Linked DNA regions of Notamacropus eugenii. The protein of the gene in region 2 purifies or fractionates together with the protein of the main gene of each other region. This does not show direct contact. Links are inferred from orthologs where the notes say so. Each region holds a gene or a part of one and is shown on either strand. Other genes may lie near its edges.

Evidence for each region.
Region 1: the proteins of DERL1 (region 2) and alpha-1-antiproteinase-like purify together in Homo sapiens (affinity purification with western blotting; 4 studies listed by BioGRID). This does not show direct contact. The link is inferred for Notamacropus eugenii from reciprocal best matches to the Homo sapiens genes DERL1 and SERPINA1.

Annotation. Positions count from the first base shown.
Region 1 is NC_092872.1:364,861,552-364,872,301, forward strand, and holds the start of alpha-1-antiproteinase-like, read left to right. Parts: upstream 1-6,196; 5' UTR 6,197-6,335; intron 6,336-10,182; 5' UTR 10,183-10,183; coding exon 10,184-10,750.
Region 2 is NC_092875.1:121,381,218-121,391,243, reverse strand, and holds the start of DERL1 (derlin-1), read right to left. Parts: upstream 5,052-10,026; 5' UTR 4,764-5,051; coding exon 4,611-4,763; intron 4,605-4,610; exon of another isoform or gene 1-4,604. UniProt on the Homo sapiens protein: Functional component of endoplasmic reticulum-associated degradation (ERAD) for misfolded lumenal proteins. Forms homotetramers which encircle a large channel traversing the endoplasmic reticulum (ER) membrane.

The DNA.
Region 1 (10,750 bases), on a different chromosome or scaffold from region 2:
GAGAGAGAGGGAAAGAATTTGGAACTCAACATTTTTTAAATGTTTGTTAAAAATGAATGAACACACAAACAAAACAAAGAAATAGAATGCTGTGAGGACATGGGGTGATGTGCTAGTAGAGAATATGATAGCAGAAACATCCCTGAGGATATCCCAAAGCTCAGCACATCACAAAACACCCTGCCAGAACGTGGAAGCTGGGACTAAGGGAGAACTCCTGAACTAATGAGGCCATTGCTTTGCTGAGCTTCTTGCTTCTTTATCCTGTAGAAATAGCTCCATTTTGCTCTCACTGTGATGAATAATTCTCCTTTGGGGGATATTCCAAGATTTAGTAGGGGTGGGAGAAAATGTTGAGTCCTCCATTTGTTGGTCACATGAACAGGAAGTCTGCCAAGATGATTACCTGAAGTGTATTTCTTTCTATCACACACACACACACACACACACACACACACACACACCCTATGATCTCTAGTGCCTCTATATTACATCCAGAATTAAATATAATCTTCTCTGGTATTTAAAGTTTTTCATAATCTCTTCTCTCTCTTTCTATTCTTTGTACACCTTACTTTCCTCCTTAATCTCTACAATCCACAATCCTAGTCTGTTTAAAATGTCTCAAATACTCTATTTTCTATCCCTGTGCCTTTGTACTATGCATCCCCAACACATGGAATATTCTTCCTCTTCACCTTTCCCCTTTGGTTTCCATGACTTACCCAGTCCCCCAGATGCTAAGTCCTTCCCCCTCTCAGGCTGCCTTCCATCTTCTCCTTAGGGGTCAGGGAGTGTGTGTATGTGTGTATGTGTGTGTGCAATTTACTCTGTGTGTATTGTATCTACCAAGTTATTTATATGCTCTCTCTCTCCATTAGAAGGTAAACTCCTTGAGGGCAGAGACTATTTTATTTTCTTTGCATCCTAGCACTTAGCAAAGTGCCTGGCAAGTAGACTGTGTTACATAAATGTTTATTGACTCACTTTCTGTCATATGAAAGATAGATTAGACTTGTTCAAGTTGGCTCCAAAGAGAAGAAAAAGGAGAATAGCACAGAAATTCAAACCTGAAGTAAGGAAAAAATTCTCATCAGCCAGAGTCACCCAAAAGAAGATTGGTTTCCTCCCAAGAGTTAGGGGAAGGAAGACTGGATAACTACTTGTAGAAGATGCTGTACATGGCATTCTCAGTTAAATGTGGGTTAGATTAGATGGTCCCTAAGGTTTTTGCAACTCTGAGAATCTAACTTTCTGATTCCAACCAAAGTATACCTTCATATTAGTTTGAAAGTTCTTAAAGAGTTTTGTATTTTGGAGAATTTCTTTACCACTTTGTCCTCTGCAACAGATGTTGGTATATTCACCGGAATAATTTTCATTTTAGAGGAGACAACTAAATATCGCATGAAAAGAGGTCTCTTCTTTCTTTGGGGTATAGAATAAAAGCAAATTTCCCAACTCCTTTCCTTACTTCTCCAAGGAAACCCTGAGAATTATTGGTCCATTTAACTGAAACTTCCTTCATCCATTTTGATTTGTAGCAATAATGTTGAGATTGATGTGATTCAGTTCCTCCTGATTAATTATTGGATATGACAGGCATCTGACATTCAGGGTACTTGCAGCCTATAAAAGTTTATAGATGTCCAAAAAATGTCATGACTCTTAGCAGCTCTTGTCCAGCTTCTGCCATTCAACCCTCAGCCATTTCCACAGTAGCAATGAAAGAGGGTGGGAAGGATGAGGCAGAGAGCTGAGGGCCACTTTATATTTTGCTTTGTTTTATGAGTTACCACACACAAAGAACTCACCAGTCTTTCCATTATGGTAGAACTTGCCAGAACTAATGTTCTCTTGGCATAGCCTTCAAGAATCTAGATTCCTTACATATCACAATGAAGCTTTAGGATAGGAATTCCCTCCAAAAATGGAGAAACTTTCTTAAACTGAACCCTGGAATTTTCACCAGATTTTGTTAGGTCTACCATTTGGAGCAAGCAGAGTCAATTGGTCAGTAAGTATTTGTTAAGTGCTTACTATATACTAGGCACTGTGCTGAGACCTGGGAGTATCAAGAAAAATAAAAAGACAGTCCCTGAATCAAGGGACTCAGTCTAATTGGAGAGAAAACATGCAACAGCTATGTACAAACAAGATATATGCAGGATAAATTAGAGACAATCAATAGCACTAGAGCTAGAAATGAAAAGGCTTCTTGCAAAAAGTAGAGTTTCAAAAGCAGATCATGTCTAATAACATTTTAACTGATGAAATCTAACTTGATCCTCTACCTTCAATAAGGTTTTCTCCATTGGGATCACAATCTCTATCCTTTCTTCTCATTTCAACTTACGGTCAATATTTACCTTGGATCAATACAGTTATTCCAGCTTCCCAACCTATAATCTGACAAAATAGGCCTTTGCCCATAAGTATAATATGCTTTCCTTCACCCTCTGCTCCTTTCCCCTTCACACTGGAAAGCAAAGTTTTCATCCCATGAAGGGGGAGGGAGGGAAGGGAGAGAGAAGGAAGGGAATCTCTTCTACTGCAGTCCAATAGCTGCCCTGTGATGGCCACTGAGCCCCAAGCAACTACTGGAATTAGCTTCTGTTTCTCTCTAAAGTCATCTGCAGGACAGGACACTCCCGTTCCTCCTCCTCTTATGGTGAGGCTTGTAGTGCCTTCATCAATCTGCTTCTCTTTCTCCTCTCCACCTCCTTGCTTCCCTGACTTCCTTCAAGTACCAGCTAAAATCCTACCTTCTGTGGCCTAGCCCTATCAGATATCAAATTGTATTATAAAGGACCAATCATCACAACCACTTGGTACTGGCTAAGAAATAGAGGAGTAGATGAGTGGAATAGGTTAGATACTCAAGACACAGTAGTCAATGAATATAGCAATCTACTGTTTGATAAACCCAAGGATCCCAGCTTCTGGGATAAGAACTCACTGTTTGACAAAAATTCCTGGGAAAACTGGATAACAGTGTGGTGGAAACTGGGCATAAACCAATGCCTGATACCATATACAAGAATAAAATCCAAATGGATACATGATCTAGGTATAAAGATTGATACTATAAACAAATTAGGGGAGCAAAGAATAGTGTATTTGTCAGATTATGGAGAATGGAGAAATATATGACCCAACAAGAGATAGAGGACATTATGAAGTGCAAAATGGATAATTTTGATTACATTAAATTGAAGTTTTTGCACAAACAAACCCAATGCAACCAAGATTAGAAAGGAAGCAGAAAACTGGGAAAGAATTTTTGCAACTAGTGTCTGTGATAAAGGCCTCATTTCTAAAATATATAGAGAACTGAGTCAAATGTACAAGAATACAAGTCATTCCCCAATTGATAAATGGCCAAAGGATATGAACAGGTAGTTTTCAGAAGAAGAAATAGAAGCTATTATAATCATATGAAAAAAATGCTCTAAATCACTATTGATTAGAGAGATGCAAATCAAAACAACTCTGAGGTACCACATCACACCTATCAGATTGGCTAACAGGAAAATCAGGAAGATGATAAACGTTGAAGAAGATGTGGGAGAGTTAGAACACTAATTCATTGTTGGTAGAACTGTGAGCTGATCTAATCATTCTGGAGAGCAATTTGCAACTATGCCAAAAGTTACAAAAATGTGCATACCCTTTGACCCAGCAATATCACTTCTGGAACTCTATCCCAAAGAGATCACAGAAATGGGGAAGGATCCCACATGTACAAAAACATTTATAGCAACTCTCTTTGTGGTGGCCAAGAACTGGAAATCAAGGGGATGCCCATCAATTGGAGAATGGCTGAACAAGTTATGGTATATGATACATGAATGTAATGGAATACTATTGTGCTATGAGAAACAATGAACAGGAAGACTTCAAAGAAGCCTGGAAGGTCTTATATGATCTGATGCTGAGTCAAAGGAGCAGAACCAGAAGAACTTTGTAAACAGCAACAACCACAGTGTGTGAGGAATTTTTCTGAAAGACTTAGCACTTCATTGCAATGCAAGGACTTAAAAAATTTCCAAAGGCCTCTTGAGGAAAAACACCTTCCACGTCCAGAGAAAGAACTATGAAATTGGATCACAGATAGAAGGAGACCATTTCCTTTTGTATTTTGTTTTGTTTTGTTTTATGGCTTCTCCCATTCATTTTAATTCTTCTTTGCAACATGCATTTAATAGGAATGTATGTGTAGAACCTGTAAAAGATTGTACGCCATCACAGGAAGGGAGAGGGAGGGAGGAGAAAAAAAATCTAAGATATATGGAAGCGATTGTCAAACACTGAAAACAAATAAAATAATTTAATTTTTAAAAAATAATAAATAAATAAATAAAATCCCACCTTCTAGAGGGAACTCTTTCCAGTTCCCCCCAAATCTATTAAATTTCCTCCATCAATTACCTCCAAATTATCCCATATATAGTGTGTTTGTGCATTGTTCTTTGCAAGTTCTCGTCCCATTTGACTGTGAACTCCTTGAGAGCAATGACTGTCTTTTGCCTTTCTTTGTATTAGGACAGTGTTTGGCACATGGGAAGAGATTAATAAATATTTTCATTGACAGACTACCTGGATGTTTTCCAGTTTTACTCTTAGCTTCCTAAAATGTGGTGCCCAGATCAATCCTCCAGAATTTTGACCAGAGCAGGGTACAACAATTGAAATATCAATTCCTTTGTTCTGGATATTAAGCCTCTGTTAAAGCAGCCTAAATTTACACTGCCATTAGGGGCTTTCATGTTCCACTGCTACATCATATTAAGCTTGTATCGCACTCAGGTGTCCCATGTTTCCCACAAGAAATGGTCTTTAGCCATATCTTTCTTTGTTTTCTCTTTCTGAAATTGGTTTTTTAAAAAAACCCAAGTGTAAGATTTTATATTCACATCAATTAGATTTCATCTTTAGATATGACACCTCTTTCTACCCTTTCAAGATTTCTCTGGATATCAGTTCTGTCAAGCTACTTACTGTGGAACACCTCTGTCTACTAGGAAGTTCTTTTCAAGCAAAGTTTGCGCTCATAATTTCTCACCACTACTATCCCCAATTGCTATATGGAATTACTCAGAAAAAAATATCTATTTTTTTTCTACCTCACAGCACTTCAAAGTTTTGAAGACCTGAAGTTCCTGTTAAGGTTTCAGTTAATATTCATGACACAAGACTGAAACACCCTGTGATCCCATCTCCAGACTAAAACCAGATTATCAGATCTCTGATGAGGAGCTTGTATGCAGCCTGGACAGACAGTTACCAGGAGTAAAAACTTTGTAGCAGCCCATCTCAGCTACCTCAGGATCTGTGGCTGCATCTCAGAGAAATAAGAACCTAAACTTAGCAACCTCCCTTCACACCCAATGGGGTTTTGTTGACAGAGTCCCACTCTACTTACAGGTGATATTTCTGCCTTAGGTAGGTCCACCTGCCTTTTAGGAGAGAAAATTTGCTTTGATTATGCAAAAGAGATAGGTTAAACCCCAAATGTGTGAATAAAGATAAAAGAAAAACAACAGAATTCAGGCTGAACATAATGACCAGTGTTAATTCTAACTGGTTGATTTTGAAAAGAAATGTCTCTTCTTTCTGTAAAAAAAATGAGGAATTATTACACTTTAATGTTAAATGTGATATCACTCCTAATTATTATGTTAGATATTTTTATATAACCATGTTTTTGCTTCTGTGGGTTTTCCAGTGACAGGACTATGGGGAAGGGGAAGTGATTGTTCTATCCAAAAAAAAAAAGGAAAGTGTCTCTACACCTCTATCTACATAGATTGAGGTCAGATTATGAAGCCTTTCAGTGTCACATGTTACTGAGGCATTCTCCAAAGGCCAATGAAGTCATTAGAAGTTTCTGATTTGGAGACAGGCAAAATAAAAGTAGGAATTCTTCCAGAGTGGATATGAATCTTCCCACTCCATTCACTTAAAAGTGGATTTAGATACACATGTTAGAACTTTAGGAAGATCTTGTGTCCAAAGAACATAAGTTTAAAAGACAAGAAACTTAATGTCAAAGATTTCCCTTGGATAATGAGAAGAAGAATCGTCTTGCACCCCAACTGATACTGTGAGAGAATGGCAAGAGCATGGAAAGGAACAAGATTACAAATGGACAAACAGACTTAGTCATTGTTTGTTCTGTACAAATAACCAGTTATGCTAGTTAATGTTCACTGGAAGAAGAGTCTCATCCACCCCTTTCCATAACTACTTAGCTATTTAAATAACACCCTAGGAAACAAGAGGTTCTGGGTCAGCTTCCTGGTGAGTTACTGCAGGACTCTGGAGAAGGAGAGGTAAGTAATGTATTCCCCTGTTAAAAACCTCAATCTCTGTGGTCTGCACTAGAGCTGGTGGGCTTGGAATCCTCAGGGAAGTGAGGGAGAACGGAATATACAGTGACTGAATTTCAGTTCTTTGAAAGAAAACTAGACCTTCCCAAAGAAAGGGGGAAGAAGAAGACCTATGTTCATGGTCCCTCAGAAGGAATAATCATAGCCATGGCTTTGTGACAACCAGCCAATCAAACTAGGTTTTAGCCTTTGTCAAGAAGGTCTTGAGGCAGCTTTTTAAAAAATAACAGATTATGAAGAACTTGCTTTTATTTGGCAGTCTACCATGAGAAAAAGAATGCTGAACTTGTGGTCCCAAGGTATGGTTCAAATCTTTGCTTTGACATTTGCCATGTGCCCTTGGATCATTTGCCTGACCTCTGTAGTGAAGTCTGTTTCCTTATCTATAAATGGTAATAATAATATAGACACAATATACCTTAAAAGGTTGTTGTAAAAACTCAAGTCAAACAATAAATCAAATAAATAAATCAAATCAAATTGATATAGTGCCTTACATATATTATCTCATTAAGTTTCACAACAGCTCTATAGGTAGATACTGCAGGCCTTATTGGTTGTTGTGGTTCAGTCATTTCAGGCATGCAGAACTCTTCAGGACCTCTTTTGAAATTTCCTTGTCAAAGATACTGGAGTGGTTGGTCATTTCATTCCTCAGTTCATTTTACAGATGGGGAAACTGAGGCAAACACTGACTTGCTCAGTGTCATACAACTTAGTGAGTATCTGAAGTTAGATTTGAACTCAAGAAGATAAGTCCTCCAAGCCCAGGGTCCTAACCACTGAGCCACCTACCTGCCCATGGCATTATTAGACACTCATACTATTGTGATTTCAATTGTAGGGGTTTCCCAAATGAGAAAACTTCTACCAATGTGGGTTGCCACCTTCTCTACAAAATGTCTTAAAGAGAATCTAGCCTCAAACACTTATTATCTCTACAATCATGGGTTCTTATCTCTACAAAATGAGGACAAGAATAATTGTCACTTAGTGTCATGCTTTGAAGTCCCTTTTGAAGCTGAGAATCTGTGATTCTGGTTCCGTTACTTTCAGCAATAAAAGGGACCCAACCTCCTCATTTTCTCTATGAAAGAAGGAGTGGCAGCCCCCATGACTAGAAAATAGATCTTCTGGTTCCAACATGCTTTCCACTACCTTCCTCTCTCTTTGAGACAAACAAGTTGTAGAAACAGGATATGCATTGACTTACCATTAGATGTCATTGACTGCTCTATCTTCTCAGATAAAGCAAACACAATAGGAGAAGTCATCACTATGGTTTCAACAACTTGGAAGAAGTAGGATCTAAGGTAACATGATTTGGCCTGGCAGAGATAAAAAAAGACCTTCCAGGTAGAGGGTCAATTTAAGTCACAGAATTTACATCTTTTAGAATCAGAAGAGTTTTCAGAGGGATTAATCTAATTCATAATCCTCACCAATGCCAAGGTCCCCAATATAATATACTAGATAAGTCATCAACCAGTCTCTTTTTCCAGGCCTCTAGTGAAGGGAGACTGCTTTCTCCAAAGGGAGCCCATTCCTCTTTTGGAGAGGAAAGTTTTGAAGGAAGTGTTTCCTTACCTCAAGAATAAATTTGCCTTTTTGCAATGTTCCTCCAGGTTCTTCCCTCTGGGCCAGAACAGGAAAAATAGAAATCTTCATATATGTATTATTATTAATGCATAAATCTGGAAGTTTCATTCTTCACTCAAAGAAAATATACACTGACTCAGTGTGACCTACAGAAAATACAAACTTGAATTGCAGCTATTATAAGGGGCCTGGGAGGACATACCCTATAACTTTCTCAATTTACAAATGAGGAGAGTGAAGCCCAGAGAGGCTAAGTAATTTCCCCAGAGACACAGAGAATTAATTAGAAGTCTGATAAGAAGTATCAGAGGCAGGATTAGAACCCCAATCCTGAGACTCTAATTACACTGCTCTTTCTACTGCACCAAAGCTGTAGTTCCCCTCAACTAGCTATTAAAGGTTTCAATCTCCTTTTCCAACCTTATTCACAGAATTCTCCTTTCACTTACTTTAAGTTCAATTAATCAATTAATAAGCCTGCATTAATTAAGCACCTACTGTGTGCCAGGCATTATGTCTGATAGGTTTTCCCTGACTGTCCCCACTACCACCCCAGATAAAAGTTGTCTTTCCCCAAATTTGTCACAGCAACTTGTCTGCAGAATTCCTTTCCTTACTGCATTCTGCATTGCACCATTCAATTAATAAACATATATTAAGTGCCTACTATGGGGCAACACGGTGCTCACATTTCCTCATATTTATTTGGGTATATTCTTTACTTTAGTCACAGACTTTCATACACAGTGTTTTTCTATCTATTGCCTCTATCTCTATCTCTTTATCACTTAACTCGTTATAACTGTTCAATCTCTCTTTAATCTCACCCAGTTTACTTTTCCTTACTACCACTGAAAGCTCATGGAAAATAAGAAATAGAGGGGGCTTCTTTAGGGTTAGATTTTTGCATATTTGTGTCCAAAGTTGATTGTGAAGCCTCTATGTGTGTTCGTCCTTCATTGCCAAAGACCATTCAATCAGAGAAATGATGACATGACTTTCACTTGACTTTGTTTTGAGTGAGGGAGGGCTGTGCAGGTCACCAGCCTCACTTCTCCTCCAGAGCCATCTGAGTCCAGTGACCAGATATTCATCAGGATGACTGGAGATGACCCAGGATGAGGCAAGTGGGAATAAGTGACTTACCCAAAGTCACACAGCTGTGAGTGTCAAGCATCTGAGGTGAGATTTGAACTCAGGTTCTCCTGACTCTTCCACTGGTGCTCTATCCACTGCACCACCTAGCTGCCCCAGTACGTTTGACACTCACTAGCTGTGTGACCTTGGGCAAGTCACTTAACTCTAATTGCCTCATCCTAGTCATCTCCAGTCATCCTGATGAATGTCTGGTCACTGGACTCAGATAAATCTGGAGGCGAAAGTGAGGCTGGTAGCCTGCACAGTCCTCCTTCACTCAAAAACAAAGTCAAGTGCAAATCATGTCACCATTTCTGTGATGGCATGGTCTTCTTCGGCAATGAAGGATGAACACACAGCACTGTAAGGACAAACAACCAAGACTTAAACACGGAAAGGCAATGATATGCTATTACTCTAGAGAAGGGATAAAGCACACTACTATCTCCTTACAGTCAGATGGTGGATTGTTAAAGAATACGAAGTCTCTATGAAAACATTTAATAATATTTTTATTTTATTTTATTAAATTATTAAATATTCAAATTTTTTTTTAGTAAATATAATAAAATGTGAAATTGAATTGAACTGAAGTATGACTTCAATTGGGCAACTAGTGGATACAAACCCAGGCCTGCAGTCAGGAAGACTCATCTTCCTGAATTTAAATCTGACCTCAGACACTTCACTAGTTGTGGGATCCTGGAGTCGTCACTTAATTCTGTTTGCTTCAATTCCTCCTCTGTAAAATACACTGAAGAAGGAAATGGCAAACCCCTCCAGTATCTGTCAAGAAAACCCTAAATAGAGTCACAAAGAGTCAGACACAAGTGACCCAAATGAATAACAAATTGTTGGGTTGATAAATAGGAAACATTAAAGCATTCCTAGCAAGTGGGAGGGAGACATGGAGGGGATAGATCTAGTTATTCAAATAATACCCCAGGGAGAGTATGGAGGCAATTCTAAGGAAGGCATTTTGGAAACTAGAAAGAAGTCTAAGTGATATTTGAATGCAGAGGTATTAAAACTGCGTGGCCTTGTTCTCTTATAGAATGATGGCGTTCTCTCTGAAATTTTGCCTGATTTTGGCTGGCCTGTGCAGCCTGGTTCCAGGTCACCTAGCTGAGGAGTTACCAGACAGTAAAGACACTGCACACCCACTCTCTGCTAGTCACAGAATTTCCCCCTATATGGCTGATTTTGGCATCAATCTCTACAGGACGCTGGTTTCTAAGTCCAACACCACCAATATATTCTTCTCTCCACTGAGCATTTTCACTGCCTTTACCCTGTTGGCTCTTGGAGCCAAATCAACCACTCATGATCAGATCCTGCAGGGATTGGGATTCAATCTCACACAGATTTCAGAGCAAGAAATCTCTGAGGGCTTCCAGCAGCTTCTCCATACACTCAACCTACCTGGAAATGAGCTTCAACTGACCACAAGCAATGGCCTCTTCATAGACAAAAAGCTAAAAATTGTGGAGAAGTTTTTGGAAGACAGCAAGAAACTCTATGCTTCAGATACCTTCTCTGCTAATTTTGAAGACCAAGAAGCTGCCAAGAAACAGATCAATGACTATGTGGAGAAGGAGACCCAAGGAAAAATAGTGAACTTG
Region 2 (10,026 bases):
ACTATCCATAATAATGCTTGCAATTAGCGTCTCAATTTTCTTACATACAAAATAGGATACTGGGCAAGATGACCTCTGAGGTCCTTTCCAGCTCTACTCTATGATCCTCTGACCTACCTCATAGGATTGGTAGGAAGAAAGTGCTTTTTTAATCCTTTGGTGGGTCCCTGGCCTATGATTTCACTGGTATAGTAGAAGTCCGTGTAAGGAAAACTCCCTCCACCAATGTAAATTTGCAACTGTAGCTCTTAGGGAGTAATTTAGGTTAACTGAAAACGGAAGTGATTTGCTATGGATTACAAAGTTACATGTCAGAGACAAGACTTTTTGCTCTGTTATGTCTCACTTTGTAATTCTTAAACAGTTAAATAAATGAAAGCCTTATTAACAGCAATAATAATATCAATTTTACATCCTCCCCTTGCCCCAGTCTGATAGCAAAGTTTTCACTGTATGTCTGTAAAAAAAGTGAGTCAAACAAGATTGTTCACTTTTCCTCCAGTGAAGTCTTCAAAAAGAAAATGGAATTTCATCACCAATATTAGCCATGCTAATGATCACCGGGAGAAATGAAAAGCTAGAGAAACATGAGGATGGTACAGAGGAAAAAAGAAATCGCAGACACTATATGCTACAAGCCTGAGAACACAGAGCAAATTACAAGTTAACGAGACGTATTAGTCTAGACTAGCACCTGTGGCAAACACATTTATGCTGCACCAAACCAAGTAAAAATAATTTACTTTTACCTAATGTTCCAAACCAATAAGCTACAGAGAAGAGAGCTGTAATTAAAAGGATAAGCAATTGATTTTAAGTTACAAATGGGAATGAAGTGTCAAACACAGCTCACAACACTCCTCAGTGTGGCTACAATCAGATTAATGTAATAGAAAAAATTTAACTGAATAAAAATATAACAGAACACAAATAATGGCAATATGTAGCTTTCCTAGTCAATATGCTGCCAGCAGAGATTCTTATGTACTTGGTCCCTGTTTCTACTTGAGTCTGACACCAGTTGCCTAGAGGATATCTGAGGTCTCTTCCATCTCTGTAACAGTAACAGGGTGGAGAATACAAAACATGATAAAGTAGAAACAGCAATAAACTGAGTGGCCCTGACCACTTTCCAAGGCCTCACTTTCTTCATCTGTCAAATGAGTAGACACTCAATAAAATTTTTCTGAAATTCCTTGGTGATGGGGGTGGGGTGGGGGAAACATATGTGAGACTTTCGTTTTCAAGAGTCAGATCAAGATATGCGTTGTGCCTTGATGAGATTTTAAAATCTGAATATATCTCTCTATACTCACATACATACACACACACACACACACACACACACACACACTCTCTCTCTCTCTCTCTCTCTCTCTCTCTCTCTCTCTCCACTCTCTACAGGTGATCCACCAAATAAGCTAGGAAGCATTCCTCTAGGAGGAAAGCCTTTCATAATCTGGTCCCTTCCTACTTTTCAAGTGTCTTACTCCCCTGAATATACTGTATGATGCAGTGACCTTGGCTCCTGGCTGTTCCTCTCAACTACACTCCATCAGCCTTCTACATATTATCTTCACTGGCTGTTCTCCAAGGCTTGAACACCCTCCCTCCTCATCTCCACATCCTGACTTCTCCAATTTCCTTGAAGTCTTAGCTAAAGCCCCACTTTCCACAAGAAATCTTTCCCAGTCCTCCTTCATCATAGTGCCTTCCTTCTGAGATTACTCCCAATTTATCCTGTCTATATCAAGGCTCCACATAGTTGTTGTATGCATGTTGTCTCCATCCTTAGACTTGTGAGGTCCTTGAGAGAAGGGACCATTTTTGGTCTTCTTTTGTAACCCTAGTGCTTAGCACAGTCTGGTGTATAGTACGATCACAATAAATGCTTGCTCTGCTCCCTGACTGACTTCTTTTCTTCAAGTAGGGGACAGACAGATGGACTCACCACGGTTTTCTTGGTATTCTGCATGGTTTGATCCATGCTTCAAGAATTTCTGAGTGAAGGACACAGCCAGTAAGAGAGACAAGGTGGGGTACGGTATACTAGGAGTCATCCTGAAAGTGACTGGCATGCAGTAGCCTAGGCCCACTGGATTACATAAAAAATGAACTTTGGTTATACTAACTCAATTCTGCACCAAATGTTTGATAAGGAAGAATATAGGGTGGAGAAGTGAGTCAAGGGAAGGTGTTTAGAGAAGGTGTTTACATGTGACATACAAGTCTCCTCTTCACCTCCTTCCTAATTTCATCCCCTACTTAAGAGTCCATATTACCACTTTTTTCCTCTAAAAGCACAAAATGAGCAAGATTAGGTCATCAAATCAATCGGTTTTAAGTTGTTTTTGTTTTGGGGAAGGGGAGGCAAAGAGGAACAGAGCCAGAGATCCATAATATCTAAGTTTTCAACTCCCTCTCTACAACTTACAAATTTAAGGGCCATTTAGTAACCACAAATAGACTGTATGTAAGCACATCTAAGTGCCAGGCACTGTGCTGTGATATGGAGATAAAAAAGACAAATGTGAAACATTCTCTGTCCTCAAGAAACTTACATTCTAATGGGGAGAACAATATTACTATACTTATGTACGTATCTTAAATATATACAAAATAAAATAAATACGAGGTAGTTTTGGGAGAGAGTACATTAGCTGCCTAGGCCCTAGGGAATCAAGACAGGCTTTCTAAAGAAATATATAGTGGTCATTCACTATTTGTTGATTCTTAAAGCAAAAATCAAGAGAAACAAATTTGGTCATTAGCTGACAATGAAATGGTAACACTAGGTAAAAAGAGAGGAATGCCTTTATAACACTGGAGGTAAGAAAACTGACTATACATAGCAAGTGTTATATTAGATTTTTACTGTTGAGAAATACCATGATGTAATTTCAGGGGTATCAAATTCATGGTCTGAGGCCTGCAAAACTCCCCAGCGTGGCCTGAACCAGAATAAAACGTACTTGGTTAATGTTTAACAGAACATAAACACAATACAAAACAGATAAATGTTAACTGTGATTTTCTGTCTCAATATGCTGCTGCCAGGGAATCCCTTTCTTTTTGAATGTGACACCACTAGAGTAAGAGAACTTAGGTTCAAACCCCAGTTATGCCATTAACTAGCTGTGACCAGGAGCAAGTTACCTAACCTCTGAGCCCCATTCCTCATCTACAAAATGGGGATAACATTTGTAGTATGTAATCTAACAAGAGTTATGAGTGAAGTGTTATATCATGTCAGTTATCATTATATTTCAGAGAATGTGATGTGACCAACAGTAAATTAGAATCCACAGAATAAAAGATTCTACCATATAACTAGGAAGCTAGGTGGCACAGAGGATAGAGTATGTCTGGCATGGAGTCAGGAAGACTCATCTTCCTGGATTCAAATTCAGCCTTAGACACTTACTAGCTGTGTGACCCTGGGCAAGTCATGTACCTGTTTGTCTCCGTTTCCTCACCTTAAAAATGAGCTGGAGAAGGAAATGGCAAACCACTTCAGTATCTGCCAAGAAAACCCCAAATGGGGTCACTAAAGAGTAGGACACCACTGAACAACACCATATTAGTGCATAAACGTCTTAACACCTGAAAGCAGATGAATTTCTTCAAAAATGCTGATATCCACATCAGAATCTGATTTCTCCTGTGTATCCCTCATGATGTAATCACATCTGCTTTGAAAATTAGTGGCACCTATCAAAGATTTCTTCCAATGGAACCTTAAGTTGAATCTAAAGAAACTCACAAGACAAGATAAAATAACAAAGTGCCACCCACATTCACCCAAGTGAGGACACGGGCTCCCAAATAAGCCCAAAGCCTACACCTCCTCTCCTCCTTCCATCTGGCAACTATGATACTTTAGGCATCTGGGAAACAATCCCTTGGGAATTGTCACCATCTCTTAATTTCCTCTTTTGTGTCTCTGGGGCTGGAAGGAGGGAGAGAAGGAAGAAAGGGAAGAACACCGTAGTTCATAAAATCACCCAGTCTTCACTAATGCTTTACTCTAAATCCTGTGAATATAATCCAATTTAGGAACGTCCTAGACTACTGAGCAGATGACCCCATAACATGCGTTGTGTTTGGAAGATCTGATTAGTCATCAAGCTGACACGATTTAGGATAGCAAAGGTCCAACCAATTCAACTTCCTCATCTCACTGATGAGGAAACTGAGGCCCAATATGAATTAGGATTATCCAAGGTGGCCCAGATTTAAATCCACGTGTTCCAGTGCTTAAGTCCCAAGACTTTACAACACGCTGCCTCTCTGGGCTGTTATCCATTTTGATTACTTAGGCCTTATTTTACTGAACAGAGGAAAAGGAAATGAGTTAAAGAGCGAAAATCCTCAAGGAATAGAAAATCAGACCAACCTTTGACCTCTCCATCCTATTCCCTAGGACTTGACCCCACCCTACGCTCTGAAGCCTACGTTCGCACACACGGGACTACAAAGCCCGTGATTCAAAACGCGCCCAGACCCGAGGCCGCCGGGCTCCAACCGCCGCAAAGTCACCTGGTATTTGTAGTTCGCGCTTCCCCACCCCCTCGTCTTCTCCCTTTCCCAGTCCCGAGGTGGGCCGATACCTGGAAGTGGTAGAGGAAGGCGTCAGGCCAGAGTAAGAAGTAGCTTGGGTTGATGAGGCCGAGTTTGCCGACGAAGGGTACTACGATGGCGCCGGCGAACCAGTACCGCGTGATGATCGGGATGCTCCTAAACCAGTCCCCGAGATCCGACATCTTAGCAGCTCCGGTTCACGGAGACCAGCAGCGTCGCCGACTCCCCGCCCCCCCGCCCGCCCCCGCGATCCGCGGCCGGCCCCGGCTCCGGCTCCGGCTCCGGCTCCGGCTCCGCGAAGATGTGGAGGCGGAAGCCGCGGCAGGCGGCGGAGACAGGCACAGGAGGCGGAGACCAGCGGGTGCAGCCCCCAAGACGTGGCGGGGCCGAATTCGGAGGTGGAGAGCGGCGGGCGGGGTGTTCCGGGAAGGAAACTTCCCGTTCCAACTCCCGGGGCAACGCAACCGGAAATCCCACCTCTTAAAGGGGAAGCGCAACCTTAAGGCTTGGAAGGGCGACTGGAGGTGGGGCGAGAGGGAGAAGGGGCGGGGAACAGAGGTCGTCTGGAGCAACAACGTCAGATGTGCCAGCCAATGGCAGGGCCGCATTCTTTCCCTTCCCCCTCCCCTCCCCTCCCCTCCCATCTCCCTCCTCCCAATCTCCTGGATGGACCGACTTGTGAAAGGGCTAACTTGCGTAGATGAAAATGTGATGTGGTGAGAAAAGATCCGGATTGAAACTAAGGAGATTCTTGCAGTGGGACCCTGAGAAAAGCACTCATTCTGTGCCTCAGTTTCTTAGTCCGTGGGGACGAAATGGTCTCTGGTCTTACTAAGTGGTGCAGTGGTGCATTGTCTTGAAGTCCGGGAGACCTGAGTTCAGATGCTTCCCCAGACACGTGCAAGATGTGTGACCCTGGGCAAGTCACTTCACCCTGTTTGCCTCGGTTTCTTCATCTGTAAAATGAGCTGGAGAAGGAAATGGCAAACTACTCCAGTATCTTTGCCAAGAAAATACCAAGTACCAAATGAAGAGTGGACTGAACAATGTATAGGTATAGACATTTATATATATAGTTACATACATAAAGCTGCAAACATTATATGTATAAAACTAAATAATTTATATGTAAATATATAGTTATAAGTAATTATATAGGTATATACAACTATATGTAGCTCTTTGTATACAACTAGTTTCAAACATAACTACATAACATCTTTATATATATATAGTTACAAGTAAGCATATGTAAAGCTAGTTGTGAACGTATCTACCTATATTTATATGTAACTATGTAGCTCTAAATGTAAAGCTAGTAGCAAACATGTAAAACTATACAATTTACCTATATTTATATAGAAATACATAATTATAAATAACTACATGTAAACATATATTACCATACATGTATATGTAACAATATGTAGCTCTGTCTCTATATAAAAGTAGTTGCAAGGTACTGTATAAATGTGAGCAATTATTATCTGAAGCCTTATTAAATCACATAAAATATAGGATCTCAGGAATGATTCCCCTATCCTTCACTTGATAGCCAGTGGTCAGGAAGAAGAGTCAGAGATAAAAGAGAAGGGGAAGAAAAAATTATACAGAGAAAAGAAAGTAGTTTCATCAGTAAAATGTGATGGATTCTGGTGAACTACAAAAGCATTTCCTCCTTCCATAAACAGTCTTTAACTTTTTGTGAATTTTTCCTGTTCATTCCATTGGATTATACATTCCTTGAGATCAAGGATCGCATGTACTTGTCCCCTACCTTAACAGAATAATGGATCCTAGATCCAAAGGTAAATAGAACTTTAGAGGCCTTCTAGCCCAACCCTCTCATTTTACAGATAAGGAAACTGAAACCCTGGGAGATTTAAGTGACTTGCCCAGTCACCCAGGCATTAAGACTCAGAGGTAGAATTTGAACCTGGATCCTCTGAATCCAGAGTATTCATTAAATAATTGTTGGATGAGTATCTTTAAAAACAAGATAGAATCTCACCTCACTCTAGTCCTGTCCATTAGGATTTTGTGATGCCTTCATAATCCTCTTCTGCCCTATGTTTCTATGAAAACCAACCTGATTGTCTCACTGTAATCATCAACAGCTGCCACTGTATCTTTATTGTTACCTACCTACCCAGAAAAGAAAATTCTTCAGCCTTTTCCAGTAGCTTGTTCTGGAATTTAACAGCCTTTTCTAAAAGTGAATTCTTCTTATATCCTTGTCATCATCAGAAGTATTTACCTGTTATTATTAAGTTATGCGATGGTAAAGTACACTTAAGAAGTTGAAAGGAGAACAGTGATAATTAATGTCAGAAGCTTAAGAGACAATTTCTACTACATAATGGAGCAATGCCTAAGACAGGACTTTCTTGCCTCTAATTGATATTTCCTTGTGATCCTTTTGATAAGTAGTTTGAAGGAGGTGGATCACAGGAGTCTCTGATCAAATTGAAGAATTTTTTTTTAAACAACTAGATAATGAAGTATAAAGGAATTGCATAAATACCCTCCTAGGTGGCACAGTGGATAGAGTGCAGCTATGTGACCCTATTTCTTACACTTATGCCTCACTACTGTGGTCTAGGTTTAAGGCTACAACTCCCATGGAAGCTGTGTGTATTTGTGGAAAGGAGTGACCCTCCTCCTCCTCCTACTTTCCTTCCTCCACCTCTTCCCCTCCCATCTTTGGTTTCAATTCTTACCTAGCCCTTGTCATTTAATGGTTGTGGCCTCAGACAAACTGAGACCTGGGAAAGATCTTAATTTAGAAAGGCCAGGTTTACCCACTGTATTCTGAGCCATCACCAGTCATCTCTACTTTTATCTGGACTCTGATGACTCTGGAAGAGAGAGCATGGCCTCGTTCAAATCCAACTCATCCCCAAGTCAAGACATCGTGTTTGCGATGTCAGTGGTCCTCTCTGAGAATGAAGGACAAATAATAACAATAGCTGTGTGACCCTGGGGAAGTCACTTAACCCAGGCTGCTTCTGTTTCTTCCTCTGTAAAATGAGATGGAGAAGGAAATGGCAAACTATTCCAGTATCTCTGCCAAGAAAACGCAGATGGGATCATGAAGAATAGGACCCTACTGAACAACAACCAAGTAATTTGGTGACAGCTGAAAATCAGCTAGACTGATCTTGATGGTATAAAGACTGGTAGTCTTTAAAAAGCAACCCTGTAAGTTGCGGAGTCTGTAAGTTCTAAGTAAGGAGTTTACTCATCATTTTCCTTGGTATCTCTTTGGAGGGGTGGGACTCTTCCTCCAGGAGAGGGATTCTCTGTCCTCACCAGTGGCAATGGCATCCTTTTACAGAAGCACATGACTGTACAAAACTAAGAGGATATTGCTTTCTGAACTCCAGCTTCCTCTAGGATAAGAGGTTTTGAAGAAATAAAACTGGAGATGAAATCCTGTCACTAGGACACAGCTAAGGTTCCAGAAATGGGAAGGCTTTCTGCTGGTTCCAAGAAGGGATCTGGTTCTTTCTGAAAGAGTCTAGTAGTCCTGTAGGAATGGATTTCAGCTTCTCCAGAATTTGAAGGCATTGGAAACTATAGCTAACTAGCAGAGCAAGGGGCCTTCCTCCCTTTCCCCTAAATCATCAAGAAACCTAAGAGGTCCTCTAGTCCAACTTTTTCATTTTACAGATGAGAACACCAAGAAACAGAGAGGTTGTTAATAAATAACCTCGAATCATTAAATCAGTTTAGGTAATAATATAATGCAGAAGAGTTCAGATAAAGGTCAGGTTTAGCAATTAACAAAATGTTATTACTTCTCACAAGGAAAGAAGGAAAACAAAGCCAAAAAAGAACAATCTCAGTGTGTGGCCTTCATTGTGCAGCACGCAGTGGGGTAGTTTCTGAATGTGGAAACATGCAATGGTTTTGCCTACTGGTCAAAGACCTAGAGCCTCAGTGCACAAACTTTAAAATATAGTTTTATATGAAGAACCAGCATGGTATCAAAGACCACCCTGTAATCCATAGGGCTACATGTAGTTTCTTTTCTGACATCTCTCTCTAGTTTGGTGATCAAGACCATATTTGTCTCATAGCAGATATGAGACAAATATGGTTTGGTAGGATGCCTTCTTTTCCTCTTTTTATAGTTTACAAAAAATTGAAGTTAGTTGTTCCTTAATTTTTGTTATAATTTATTTGTAAATTTTTCTGGTCTTGGGAATTCCTTTATGGCTTTTTCAATTTACTTTTCTGAGATTGGGTTATTAAATTCTCTACCTTTTGTTTTGTTACTCTGGATCTTTTATGTTTTTGGAAATGTTCATCCATTTTATTTATTGGTAATATCATGTAATTGGGTAAAATGGTTTCTAATGATTTCCTCTATTTTCTATTTATCTGTTATGAATTCTTTTTCATTTTTTATTATGGCTATTTGGTTTTACTCTTTCTTGGTCAAATTAACTAATGGTTTGTCAGTTGGTTTTTTTATTTTTGGTTGTTTTTTTTTAAAGAAACAACTCCTAATTTTATTTATCAATTTAGTAGTATTTTAATTTTATTTCTTCTTTAATTTTCTGAATGTCTGTTTTGGAGTTTATTTGGGATTTTTTTATATGTTGTTCTTCAAGGTTTTTAGGTATTTTCCCAATTCATTGAGATGGTCATTCTTTCTCTTTTTTTTTTTTTTAATGAAAATATTTAAAGATAGAATTTTTCCTCTAGGGACTACTTTGATTACATCCCAGGAGTTTCGGTATTTTGGCCCATTGTTGGCATTTTCTTTGATGGAATTTTCTATGATTTCTGTGATTTTTTTCTTTGAGCCTCCAACTCCACAGGATTGAATTTCACCATCAAAGTTTAAACTCTTCAAAGGCCCTTCATTGATTATAGTTTTTTATTAAATTGTGGTTAGTAAAGAACATATTTAATTTTTTGCTTTTCTACATTTCTCAAGTTTTTTTACTCTAGCACACAGTTAAATTTTGTAACGATTCAAAATTATCATATGGCAAGACGAAGTTATCCCCCAGGAGTTCAAAGATGCCTCCATTGTCCATCTCTATAAAAGTAAAGGGAATAAATTGTCCTGCAACAATCACAGTGGGCTCTCTCTCTTAGCCATTACTGGCAAAATTCTTGCTAGAATCTTCCTTAATAGGCTGACTCTTCACCTGGAAGATGGTCATATACCTGAGGGCCAGTGTGGCTTCAGAAAGGGCCAAGGAACAGTCAATATGATGTTGCTGCCTGACAACTCCAGGAGAAATGCCAGGAACAGAACAGAGGTCTACACACAACATTTGTAGAACTGACCAAGGCCTTATGGAAATTATGTCAAAATTTGGCTGCCCAGAGAAGTTCATCAGTATTGTACATCAATTTCATGATGATGTTTGCCCGGGTTCTGGATAATGGACAAAGCTCTCATGCCTTCTTACTCACCAATGGAGT